Linked DNA regions of Saccharomyces cerevisiae S288C. The protein of the gene in region 2 interacts with the protein of the main gene of each other region in a biochemical or structural test. Each region holds a gene or a part of one and is shown on either strand. Other genes may lie near its edges.

Region 1 (3,956 bases), on a different chromosome or scaffold from region 2:
GTGCCCATGGTAATTTTTGACGTTCACTCAACTTACTGACAATATCCTGCTGCTCAGTGGAGGGCATGTTCTCCCATCTGGATTGCAGATCCATTACAGCAGCGTTGGAAAGAGCATGTGTTTGAGCGAATCTTACGGATGTAATACGTGATAGTCCACCAGCTCTAGTAAAAGTGTTACGTAACATTGTAGATGCGTTCTTAGTTGATCTTGTGTTTGGTGCATTGCTTGCAAACAGAAGACAAAATACGAGGACTGATGGTTCTTATTTAATTGATTGTTCTTTTTAACTTTTCGCCGCCGCTTGTATCGGCGCAAAACGTAGGGCCAATCACAAACGAGGAAAACGTCTATTGGACGATTTTTGCAATGTGACACTTACAATGATGAATAATTACTATGTAGGCAGAAGTGCTAAGTACATTCTATTTAGAAGCGTAGGGAGGCGGTCTGCCTGCAGATCTGATAGTCATAAAGATTCTTTTGGGAGATGCTGTCCCTTAAGGAAGAAACATCATCTGTTCCGGGGCAGTAGATATTGATTCGTTGTCCACAGAAGCTTCCAGTGAATCTGCGGGTTGAGACAAACTTTTACAGTGCTCATCATCTTCCCCGCGTTCTGTGGCCAGTGCGGTCCTTGCTCCAGTCAACGTAGCAGGAGTTCTTGGCGTTACTTCCGAAGAATTGACAGAACTGTCATTCGGCGACGATGATAGATTCGTTACCATGGGAAAACTTCTAAAGGACGCAGAAGAGTAGGACTTCGTAGTCGAGGAAACTTCGTTGTTTCCGATGTCATCTTCCTCAGGCATGTGAACAGTCTCTCCTTCTTCGCCCGGTGAGTTCTTGGACAACATGGTTCCCCATTCCATAAGTTGGAAGATGAGACCCATGTTTGGACTTATATCCTTAGCAACACCTTTCAGCTTATTGTATGCATCATTTAAACTCAAGCCATAATATCGCATGATATACGCCACAATCAATGACGCCGATCTTGATACTCCACACTGACAGTGTACGAGTATTTTCTTGCCTTGCGAATGAGCGGTATGTATAATGCGTGTCAATCGGGATAAGTCCTTGACGATCTTGGATGTGTGTGTCCATTCAATATGGTAATATTTTATTTTATGTGCCATTTCCGGCGGTATTAAAAACTCCAGGTTCGGTATTTCTTTGGCAACATTAATGACTAAATCAAACGATAATATATCTTCTAGTTTGGGTTCTGAATATAGATACAAATTAGGCGGCAGTACCAGCAATGGTCCATCTAAATAAACCGTTCGTTGATAAATCTCTGCATGCACCATATCAATATTCAGATCCGAGTCCTCCTCCGGGAAAATCAATGTTGTTTGCATATTCTTTTGGTTAGAAAATCTGTTGACATCCGTACTATCTAAAGTACCTTCACGAGTACTAGAAATTGGCGTGGATGTCTCTAACCCTGAGATCGTTTGAGAACGTCCTCTAATTCCCTTCAACTTCAAGTCTTTAGTTTTCACGGATAATGAATGGACTCTATTCAGATGAGGTTTTTCTGAAAATGACGATAACGGTGATGATGATGACAGCTTACTGATAGACGATACTGTGGATGATTTTGTATACACGCTTGGAGAAACAGTTCGGTTCTTCAAAGATGTTGGTAGTGTGTATATAGAGGCCTCGCTTCGCCTCATCGACAGCGATGGTGGCGTTGGCCTTGGACTTACTTTTGGTGGACATTTCTCCAACACAATAGGTTTGGGCTTCATAAATAGATTCAAAGGTGTCGGCGATGGGAATTTTACTGAACCTGGCACATCTTGGCTTGGCGATGAGAATTCCATTAATGGATGGAGTGCTGCTATATCTAAAGATAAATTTTTGGTATTCCTATTTTGTAAGGAACGCGGTGAGTTTGGCTTGAAATCGATGTCGGTTTTACTGTCCAAATGCTGCTTATCTGAGTGAAATTGCATGTGCACTTATCGCTACCAAATGTATTACTATCGCTTCCGCTACTATTGTTGTCTTATACTTAAATGAAGAAAAAAAAAAGAATGTTTACTAAACGAGTTGCATAACCCTCACTCTTGTTTACTAAACGCTTTATTTAAAAGTAATAATAATGATATATTACACTGTATCGAATCCTATGTAACATTTTTGTATTTTTTCACTTCTAAATTTGAAATAGTCAAAGAGAAAAAAACATCAAAAAACAAACTACATTTTCCTTTTTTGGAAAGTACATTCCTGTTTTGGAAATTGCCTTCCGCTCCTGCGCTATAAAAAGAAAAATACCCAGCTTTGACGAAAAAGCTACATTCTTAACACTCACTTCTTACCAGGATGGACCATGGAATCCTTTTGAATAGCCGTAGATTTTTGCGTATTGAAAAAGGGCACCTCATACTTCATGCTTCCACGGACTATCAATTCGTAATCATGCTTGATTAGTAGCTTCCATTTTTTAGTATCATCTTCTTTGTCATCTCTAGCATTTGGTTTGCTTTTGTATTGTCTTTCATTAGTATTGTTTTCATCGTCACCATCGTCGCCATCATCATCGTCATCATCGTCGTTTTCGTGCTTGGCTTCACGAGACCCAGGACTTAAAAGCTTGACACTCGAGACTGACACATCGTAGTTCCTATTAAATGCGCCGCCCTGGAACTTTAATGGTGTCTCTAGTTTTTTAGCGGTTCCTAGTAATACCGTCTCTATGTTCCCACCACTAATATCATTATTAGCACTCTCTTCAACTAACGAAAGATTTGTCGTTATTTGTAAAATTTTCCGTTCCTGTTCCATTACTGTACAGTCACCATTAGAATCGCACTTCAGGTAAGAACTTTTTGCAAAAATGTCCAAATCGACTTGGGAAACGCTTATACTGAAGAATCCTGGATTAAAAGCACTTACTGTGATGTCGAAGATCAACTCGTCCGAACTTGAAATCACATTATCCATCACTACCACGTCTACATCTTGTAGTTCTTTATTAGTGGCCAATAAAAATCCCAGAATGAATCCTGTCATCAATAGTGATGATATAACAAATGCAAGATAAAGAAAATTCTTTACTTTCACAAATGGGGACTTCCTTGAGTAAAAGTTGTGCGGTGAGTAACCAACAATATCGTTATTATTGATATTGGAATGGGTAACGTCATCGTTACCATTCATATGGATGCTACCATTCATTATGCTATTGTTTGTTCTTGATAGGTGTCTTTGACCACGTTTCATTCTTAAGGGGGTATATTCATTCAATTGGTTGTTATTGCCAGTATTGTTGCCAACCATAAAATCGTAGTAATCATTATTTGATCTTGAAGGCATCCTTCCATGTAATGGAAGTTCGTGCGTGTTGGATGCTGAGCCATAGTAACTGTTGAAAGTAGCATTTGGGCGATCATAATCATCTACGTCTTCATCTTCACCATAATCGGATATTAGCGGTTTTGTTTCTAAATCGTTCTTATGATTATAATAAAACATGGAGTGAATATCGTTTTCATCACTTTCGTTATCTTCTGGAATAAACTCATGCTGAAGGTTAGTGTGTTGCGGTCGATTTACATTAGACGAGTCACCATTATTTTCCTCTTCAATAACATTGTTATCACCATAAAAGTTTAAACCATGGGGAAACTTATTGTTCCTGCTGTTATAAAATTCATCCTTTTTCACACTATTTTGCATTGTTGGATAATTATGCGGCTGTTCGATGTAATCTTCTAGATTAACGTGATCCGGTACCCCAGAGTATCTCCGTAAAGGAGCTCCATTAGGGTTTGAATCAAATATCTTTGACACTGTTGTTCTAAGAGGCCTTTTGTTGTCACCATAATTAGAATTTCTATTAGCAGAGGAATGTCTCAAAGTAGAATTGGAAAGAGATTTCTTCGTTGAAATATCATTGTTTGGTTCCAATTCCTGCGAATTTGTGGCAACATTGG
Region 2 (4,562 bases):
AAATGTCTTTTACACCGGTAGTGCGGGTACAGGTAAGTCGGTCATTTTGCAAACGATCATAAGACAATTGAGCTCTTTGTATGGGAAAGAATCAATTGCAATTACCGCCTCAACTGGGCTAGCGGCAGTGACTATTGGTGGTTCCACATTGCATAAGTGGTCTGGTATAGGAATCGGGAACAAAACTATCGACCAATTGGTGAAAAAAATACAATCACAAAAGGACTTATTGGCCGCATGGAGGTATACAAAAGTTTTGATAATTGATGAAATTTCTATGGTCGATGGTAATCTGTTGGATAAATTAGAGCAAATCGCAAGGAGAATTCGGAAGAACGACGATCCCTTTGGTGGTATTCAATTGGTCCTGACAGGCGATTTTTTTCAACTACCACCAGTTGCTAAGAAGGACGAGCATAACGTTGTGAAATTTTGTTTTGAAAGTGAAATGTGGAAACGGTGCATTCAAAAAACGATTTTACTGACAAAGGTTTTCAGACAACAGGATAACAAACTAATTGATATTCTAAATGCCATAAGATACGGAGAGCTGACTGTCGACATTGCTAAAACAATAAGGAACCTAAATAGGGATATAGACTATGCCGATGGAATTGCTCCTACAGAACTGTATGCCACAAGAAGAGAAGTTGAACTATCCAACGTAAAGAAATTACAGTCTCTACCTGGTGATTTATATGAGTTTAAAGCTGTAGATAACGCGCCCGAGAGATACCAAGCGATACTAGATTCTTCATTAATGGTGGAAAAAGTTGTCGCATTGAAGGAAGATGCACAGGTAATGATGTTGAAAAATAAGCCTGATGTAGAATTAGTTAATGGATCATTGGGAAAAGTTTTGTTTTTTGTTACAGAATCGCTGGTGGTGAAAATGAAGGAAATTTACAAGATTGTGGATGACGAAGTTGTCATGGACATGAGATTAGTGAGTCGGGTCATTGGTAATCCCTTGTTAAAGGAATCAAAGGAGTTTCGTCAAGATTTGAATGCCAGGCCATTAGCTAGATTGGAACGTTTGAAAATCTTGATAAACTATGCAGTTAAGATCTCTCCGCATAAGGAAAAATTCCCCTATGTGAGGTGGACAGTGGGTAAAAACAAGTACATACATGAGCTCATGGTCCCAGAGCGCTTTCCCATTGATATTCCCAGAGAAAATGTCGGGTTAGAAAGAACTCAGATTCCATTAATGCTATGCTGGGCACTGTCCATTCATAAGGCACAGGGTCAAACTATTCAAAGACTAAAGGTCGACTTGAGGAGAATTTTCGAAGCCGGCCAAGTTTATGTTGCACTGTCAAGAGCGGTAACTATGGACACCTTACAGGTCCTAAACTTTGATCCAGGAAAGATTCGCACCAATGAAAGAGTAAAAGATTTCTATAAACGTTTAGAAACTTTGAAATGACTTGCAACGAATAAATGCATATACTCTAGTTGAAGTTTTCTTTTCTTGTTCTATACAGGTTCGAATACTTGTGAGCCTATCTGTATAATTTAACAGAATCCCGAAATATTCATCTAGAAGCCATCTATTTAGCTAAGCCTACGTATGCGGCGATTTTTATATTATCTTTTTTTTTTTTTATAGAAGACTGCGAAATGTTGGCAGAATGGAAAGTTTCAGTGTTAAAAATAGAAACTGAAAAAGGAGATCTAGCCAGGAATATATCGAAAAAAAAAGTGAGGGAAATCAGATCCTACACAAATATTTAGATTTAATTGAAGACCCTGGTCTGCCAGATATATATATATATTAGACGAACTGTGCATTCAGTCAGCAAATCTAGGCCACAGATTTTCTTATTGAAGCTATCAAAATAGTAGAAATAATTGAAGGGCGTGTATAACAATTCTGGGAGATGGCTGATAAGATAGAGAGGCATACTTTCAAGGTCTTCAATCAAGATTTCAGTGTAGATAAGAGGTTTCAACTTATCAAAGAAATAGGGCATGGAGCATACGGCATAGTGTGTTCAGCGCGGTTTGCAGAAGCTGCCGAAGATACCACAGTTGCCATCAAGAAAGTGACAAACGTTTTTTCGAAGACCTTACTATGTAAAAGATCCCTACGTGAGCTAAAGCTTTTGAGACATTTCAGAGGCCACAAAAATATTACATGTCTTTATGATATGGATATTGTTTTTTATCCAGACGGGTCTATCAATGGACTATATCTTTATGAGGAACTTATGGAATGTGATATGCACCAAATCATCAAATCCGGTCAACCTTTGACGGATGCTCACTATCAAAGTTTCACATACCAAATATTATGTGGTTTAAAGTATATTCATTCTGCAGATGTCTTGCATCGTGATTTGAAGCCCGGCAATTTGCTTGTCAATGCAGATTGTCAATTGAAAATCTGTGATTTTGGGTTAGCTAGAGGTTATTCGGAGAATCCTGTCGAAAACAGTCAATTTTTGACGGAGTACGTGGCCACTAGATGGTATAGAGCTCCGGAAATAATGTTGAGTTACCAAGGATATACCAAGGCGATTGACGTATGGTCAGCTGGCTGTATTTTAGCGGAGTTTCTTGGTGGAAAGCCAATCTTCAAAGGAAAGGATTACGTTAATCAATTGAATCAAATATTACAAGTTTTAGGGACACCCCCAGACGAAACTTTAAGAAGGATTGGTTCTAAAAATGTTCAGGACTACATACATCAATTAGGTTTCATTCCAAAAGTACCTTTTGTCAATTTATACCCAAATGCCAATTCACAAGCATTAGACTTATTGGAGCAAATGCTCGCGTTTGACCCTCAAAAGAGAATTACCGTGGATGAGGCCCTGGAGCATCCTTACTTGTCTATATGGCATGATCCAGCTGACGAACCTGTGTGTAGTGAAAAATTCGAATTTAGTTTTGAATCGGTTAATGATATGGAGGACTTAAAACAAATGGTTATACAAGAAGTGCAAGATTTCAGGCTGTTTGTGAGACAACCGCTATTAGAAGAGCAAAGGCAATTACAATTACAGCAGCAGCAACAGCAGCAGCAACAGCAACAGCAACAGCAACAGCAGCCTTCAGATGTGGATAATGGCAACGCCGCAGCGAGTGAAGAAAATTATCCAAAACAGATGGCCACGTCTAATTCTGTTGCGCCACAACAAGAATCATTTGGTATTCACTCCCAAAATTTGCCAAGGCATGATGCAGATTTCCCACCTCGACCTCAAGAGAGTATGATGGAGATGAGACCTGCCACTGGAAATACCGCAGATATTCCGCCTCAGAATGATAACGGCACGCTTCTAGACCTTGAAAAAGAGCTGGAGTTTGGATTAGATAGAAAATATTTTTAGGACAAAAAACTATAAGTAACCGGGGAAGTATAGAATCACCATAGATGTAAGCTTACAGACAATGTGTATATATGATGTATATGAACGTATACAAATATATATATATATACGTGCTCTTGTTGTAGCTCGTATATCAAATTCCTCCTCCGACGCTTATCTTAATCGTACTCCGCGGAAGTTTGTTATCGCCTCTTGAATTCTTTCTTTTCGTTCATTTATGATTAGTCATCTATAGACAATATTCATTATTTAAGCACCTAGAATACTAAACTAAATGTCTAAATATGACACAAGGAAGATAAGATAAAAAAAACCAAGCGCTTAGAATATGACTTTAATGGTACCTTTCAAACAAGTTGATGTATTCACTGAGAAGCCCTTTATGGGAAATCCAGTAGCAGTAATAAACTTCTTGGAAATTGATGAAAATGAAGTCAGTCAAGAAGAATTGCAGGCAATTGCCAACTGGACAAACTTATCAGAAACAACGTTTTTATTTAAACCATCTGATAAAAAGTATGATTACAAGTTGAGGATCTTTACTCCAAGAAGTGAATTGCCATTTGCTGGTCACCCAACCATTGGTTCATGTAAGGCTTTCCTTGAGTTCACCAAAAACACCACTGCGACTTCTCTCGTCCAGGAATGTAAAATAGGCGCTGTTCCAATAACAATTAATGAGGGACTAATTAGCTTCAAAGCTCCGATGGCTGATTACGAAAGTATATCGAGTGAGATGATTGCTGATTATGAAAAAGCGATTGGTTTGAAATTCATAAAGCCTCCTGCTCTTTTACATACTGGGCCAGAGTGGATCGTGGCGCTAGTAGAAGATGCAGAAACTTGCTTCAATGCAAACCCAAATTTTGCTATGCTTGCACACCAGACAAAACAGAATGACCATGTGGGAATTATCCTAGCGGGCCCTAAAAAGGAAGCCGCCATCAAAAACTCCTACGAAATGAGGGCGTTTGCTCCGGTGATAAACGTTTATGAAGATCCTGTTTGTGGTAGTGGTTCTGTAGCCCTTGCAAGATATTTGCAAGAAGTTTATAAGTTTGAGAAAACCACGGATATTACCATTTCTGAGGGTGGAAGGTTAAAAAGAAATGGCCTAATGTTAGCTTCAATTAAGAAAGAAGCTGATAATAGCACTTCCTACTATATAGCAGGTCATGCCACTACCGTTATTGATGGTAAGATCAAAGTTTAGGATTCTAAACG
Region 3 (2,892 bases), on a different chromosome or scaffold from region 2:
ATCGTTATTGAAGTTGGAGAGGAGACAAATTAACCTGAGAAATATGAATTGGTGTGAAGCAGCGTATGTGTGACAGAACAAACAAGCCTAAACGCCGATGTCAAACACAATTTTTTCTCCAGTTTATGCGTGCAACTATCCTTCGGTCCTTTGTCTTTTTTTCTCTTTTGATCAAACAATTGAAAAAACACTGGTCGTAGGTCACGATAAAAGTTGCGATGTCCCCTCCCACCTAGTTTCCTAAATACTATTATATAATATTAACTAAACAAACGTCAGAAAAAAAAAAAACTCTATCAAAAGTACAAATCCTTATTTAGTAAAATTTATAAGAAAATAAAATCTCTCAGGGCGAGAACGATAGAGACCAGCCAAATTTGTGGACTGGTTCAGTCAGTTGTAGCGCATTGAAAGACATACCCACACCCAAAGAAATATCTTTATTCAAATTTCGCTTGTACGACAATGTAGTCAGGCCTGAATCTGCAATTTTTGCCTTAACTTGCGAAATAGAATCTGGTACGTATCTGGTAACAAATTCAATGTTCATATTAGAACTTGTCTTCGATTGTAAAGTGGCTTTAGTTCCCACTTGCAAATAGCGGTTAACGTTTTGAAAAAATGAAGCAGTTGCGCATTGCCTGTTGTTAGTAGACAAAATAAACGAATATTCTCTGGCAAGATACCCGATTGACATAGCATAGCGTGCACATAAACCCGCAGCTGTGTCATATGCGATGTCAGTGCCGCCAACAAACCCGCGGTGGCCCAAAGTAACACTTCCGACAAAGTCCTTAGGTTGCAAGATGTCTATAGAAGTTCTTGCTGCAAACGATTTTTGGGCGTAGCTCAAATTAAATTTGGCGTTCTTGATGGATTGGGGAGTCAAAAATGCGTTGACATCACCTTTCCAACCAGGTGCTATCTTGGAAAATTCGATTCTTGTATTTAACCTGTTCTGGTTCGACCAACTCTGAGATAGCGACACTCCCTCCTTCCTGTCATAAAACCGTCCTTCTACGCTAGTTTGGATGGGGCCTTCTGTCACGCCCTGCTTCGCCTTCAGAGTAAAATTCACACCATTTTCCGTGGTTGTTGAAATATTCAAAGAGAGGGGGTTGGTGTGAAAAAAGTCCCTATTGAATAGGCCATTGACATCTCTAGATATATCGTTGAAAAATCGTAGTGCCATCGTAGGTAATTTCTAACACTTTCCTCTTCATGCAATTCCTTCACTCGAGAATAAAACAGAAGAGCTCCATCTTCACTATTCTTTCTTTTCTTTTTGTTCCATTTCTGCAATTGGAAGCGAGAAAAAAGGAAAGGAATTGCTAAAGGCGCTTTCAATCATGTAAGACAAATTAGTATTTGGTTAAAAAATGCAGAAGCTCAGTCGCAGCATAGAAAAAGAACTAAACTTTTAAATGCTGAAAACTACGAACAGATTTTGCAGTGTGTCATTTCTGCGGAATCCGTTATTCGTCTCATTTGCTAGGCAGGGCGCACACTATTGGAATAGGAGATATCTTCCAGATAGAAAAGGGTTTTTGCGTCGTACGGCGCGGCCTTGGCAACTCCCCTTCTGGAACAGGCAACTTCCTAATTAGGTTGCCGCAGCGAATAACTTTAATCAGTTCTTATCCCCTTTATGGTATACTGGGTGATATAAAAGAACGAGTAAGACAAGATCAGCAACAAAGTTGAAGATAATCTATTATCTAAAATAACACATACGGCTGCGCACTTGTAGCCATAATCTCGCATGAACATATACACATCACCCACGCGAACACCGAACATCGCACCAAAGAGTGGCCAAAGACCATCTCTTCCTATGCTGGCCACAGATGAGAGGTCTACGGACAAAGAAAGCCCGAATGAAGACCGTGAATTCGTGCCTTGTTCGAGTTTGGACGTGCGCAGAATCTACCCAAAAGGCCCATTACTTGTTCTCCCGGAAAAGATCTACCTTTATTCAGAGCCCACGGTAAAAGAGCTTTTACCCTTTGATGTGGTCATCAACGTTGCTGAAGAGGCAAACGATTTACGAATGCAGGTTCCTGCTGTCGAGTACCATCACTACCGATGGGAACATGATTCGCAGATTGCGTTGGACTTGCCATCATTGACTAGCATCATACACGCAGCTACGACTAAGCGAGAGAAGATACTGATACATTGCCAATGTGGGCTGTCGAGATCCGCAACGCTGATTATTGCATATATAATGAAATATCATAACTTGAGTCTGAGGCACTCATATGATCTGTTGAAATCAAGGGCAGACAAGATAAACCCTTCCATAGGGCTTATTTTCCAGTTGATGGAATGGGAGGTTGCTCTTAACGCGAAGACTAACGTGCAAGCCAACAGTTATAGAAAAGTACCGTGAGAGAGAAAAAAAAAAAAGATATAGCATTCAATGAGGCTTTATTGAGGGGCACGATGCTCTTTTTTTCTTCTGTACTTTATAAATAATTCCGTATTTCTTCGCTTTGTTTCATGCTCTGTTCTGAGCTTTTAGTTTCTCTTATTGAGAGCCTTTTCCAAATCAAGGCTCAGGAAGTGACTCGTCCTTAGAAGAACAAGGTTTGGATTTGGTAGGGTTCTTGTACGAAGTTCTCAATATAATTTGCGCATTTACTGTACGGTTCATACTAGTTTATTCCGGGTAACAAGTTTTCTTGTGATGCTAAATCAATGTGTATATTGAGAAAACTATGTAGTAAGTTACACAAAGCAACAAAGGATATTATTATATGTGACAGAGAAGAATTGCTGTAGAGATTCATGACAATATGAATGAGACTACTACAAAACAGCCGCTAAAGAAAAGGTCCCTGAGCAGCTATCTTTCAAACGTGAGCACGAGACGGGAGGAGCTGGAAAAGA

The links.
Region 1: of the proteins of SLT2 (region 2) and MSG5, one has a biochemical effect on the other in vitro, tested with the Saccharomyces cerevisiae proteins (6 studies listed by BioGRID, with this or other methods).
Region 3: of the proteins of SLT2 (region 2) and SDP1, one has a biochemical effect on the other in vitro, tested with the Saccharomyces cerevisiae proteins (3 studies listed by BioGRID, with this or other methods).

Annotation. Positions count from the first base shown.
Region 1 is NC_001146.8:527,956-531,911, reverse strand, and holds MSG5 (tyrosine/serine/threonine protein phosphatase MSG5), read right to left. Parts: upstream 1,971-3,956; coding exon 501-1,970; downstream 1-500. Other genes in the region: COX5A (cytochrome c oxidase subunit Va), read right to left, coding at 1-187; VAC7 (Vac7p), read right to left, coding at 2,329-3,956. UniProt on the Saccharomyces cerevisiae protein: Dual specificity phosphatase that dephosphorylates MAP kinase FUS3 on both a Tyr and a Ser or Thr. Has a role in adaptation to pheromone.
Region 2 is NC_001140.6:167,666-172,227, reverse strand, and holds SLT2 (mitogen-activated serine/threonine-protein kinase SLT2), read left to right. Parts: upstream 1-1,883; coding exon 1,884-3,338; downstream 3,339-4,562. Other genes in the region: RRM3 (DNA helicase), read left to right, coding at 1-1,429; YHI9 (Yhi9p), read left to right, coding at 3,667-4,551. UniProt on the Saccharomyces cerevisiae protein: Serine/threonine protein kinase involved in a signal transduction pathway that plays a role in yeast cell morphogenesis and cell growth.
Region 3 is NC_001141.2:148,797-151,688, forward strand, and holds SDP1 (mitogen-activated protein kinase tyrosine protein phosphatase SDP1), read left to right. Parts: upstream 1-1,762; coding exon 1,763-2,392; downstream 2,393-2,892. Other genes in the region: putative porin POR2, read right to left, coding at 347-1,192; HOS4 (Hos4p), read left to right, coding at 2,799-2,892. UniProt on the Saccharomyces cerevisiae protein: Mediates dephosphorylation of MAPK substrates such as SLT2, acquiring enhanced catalytic activity under oxidative conditions.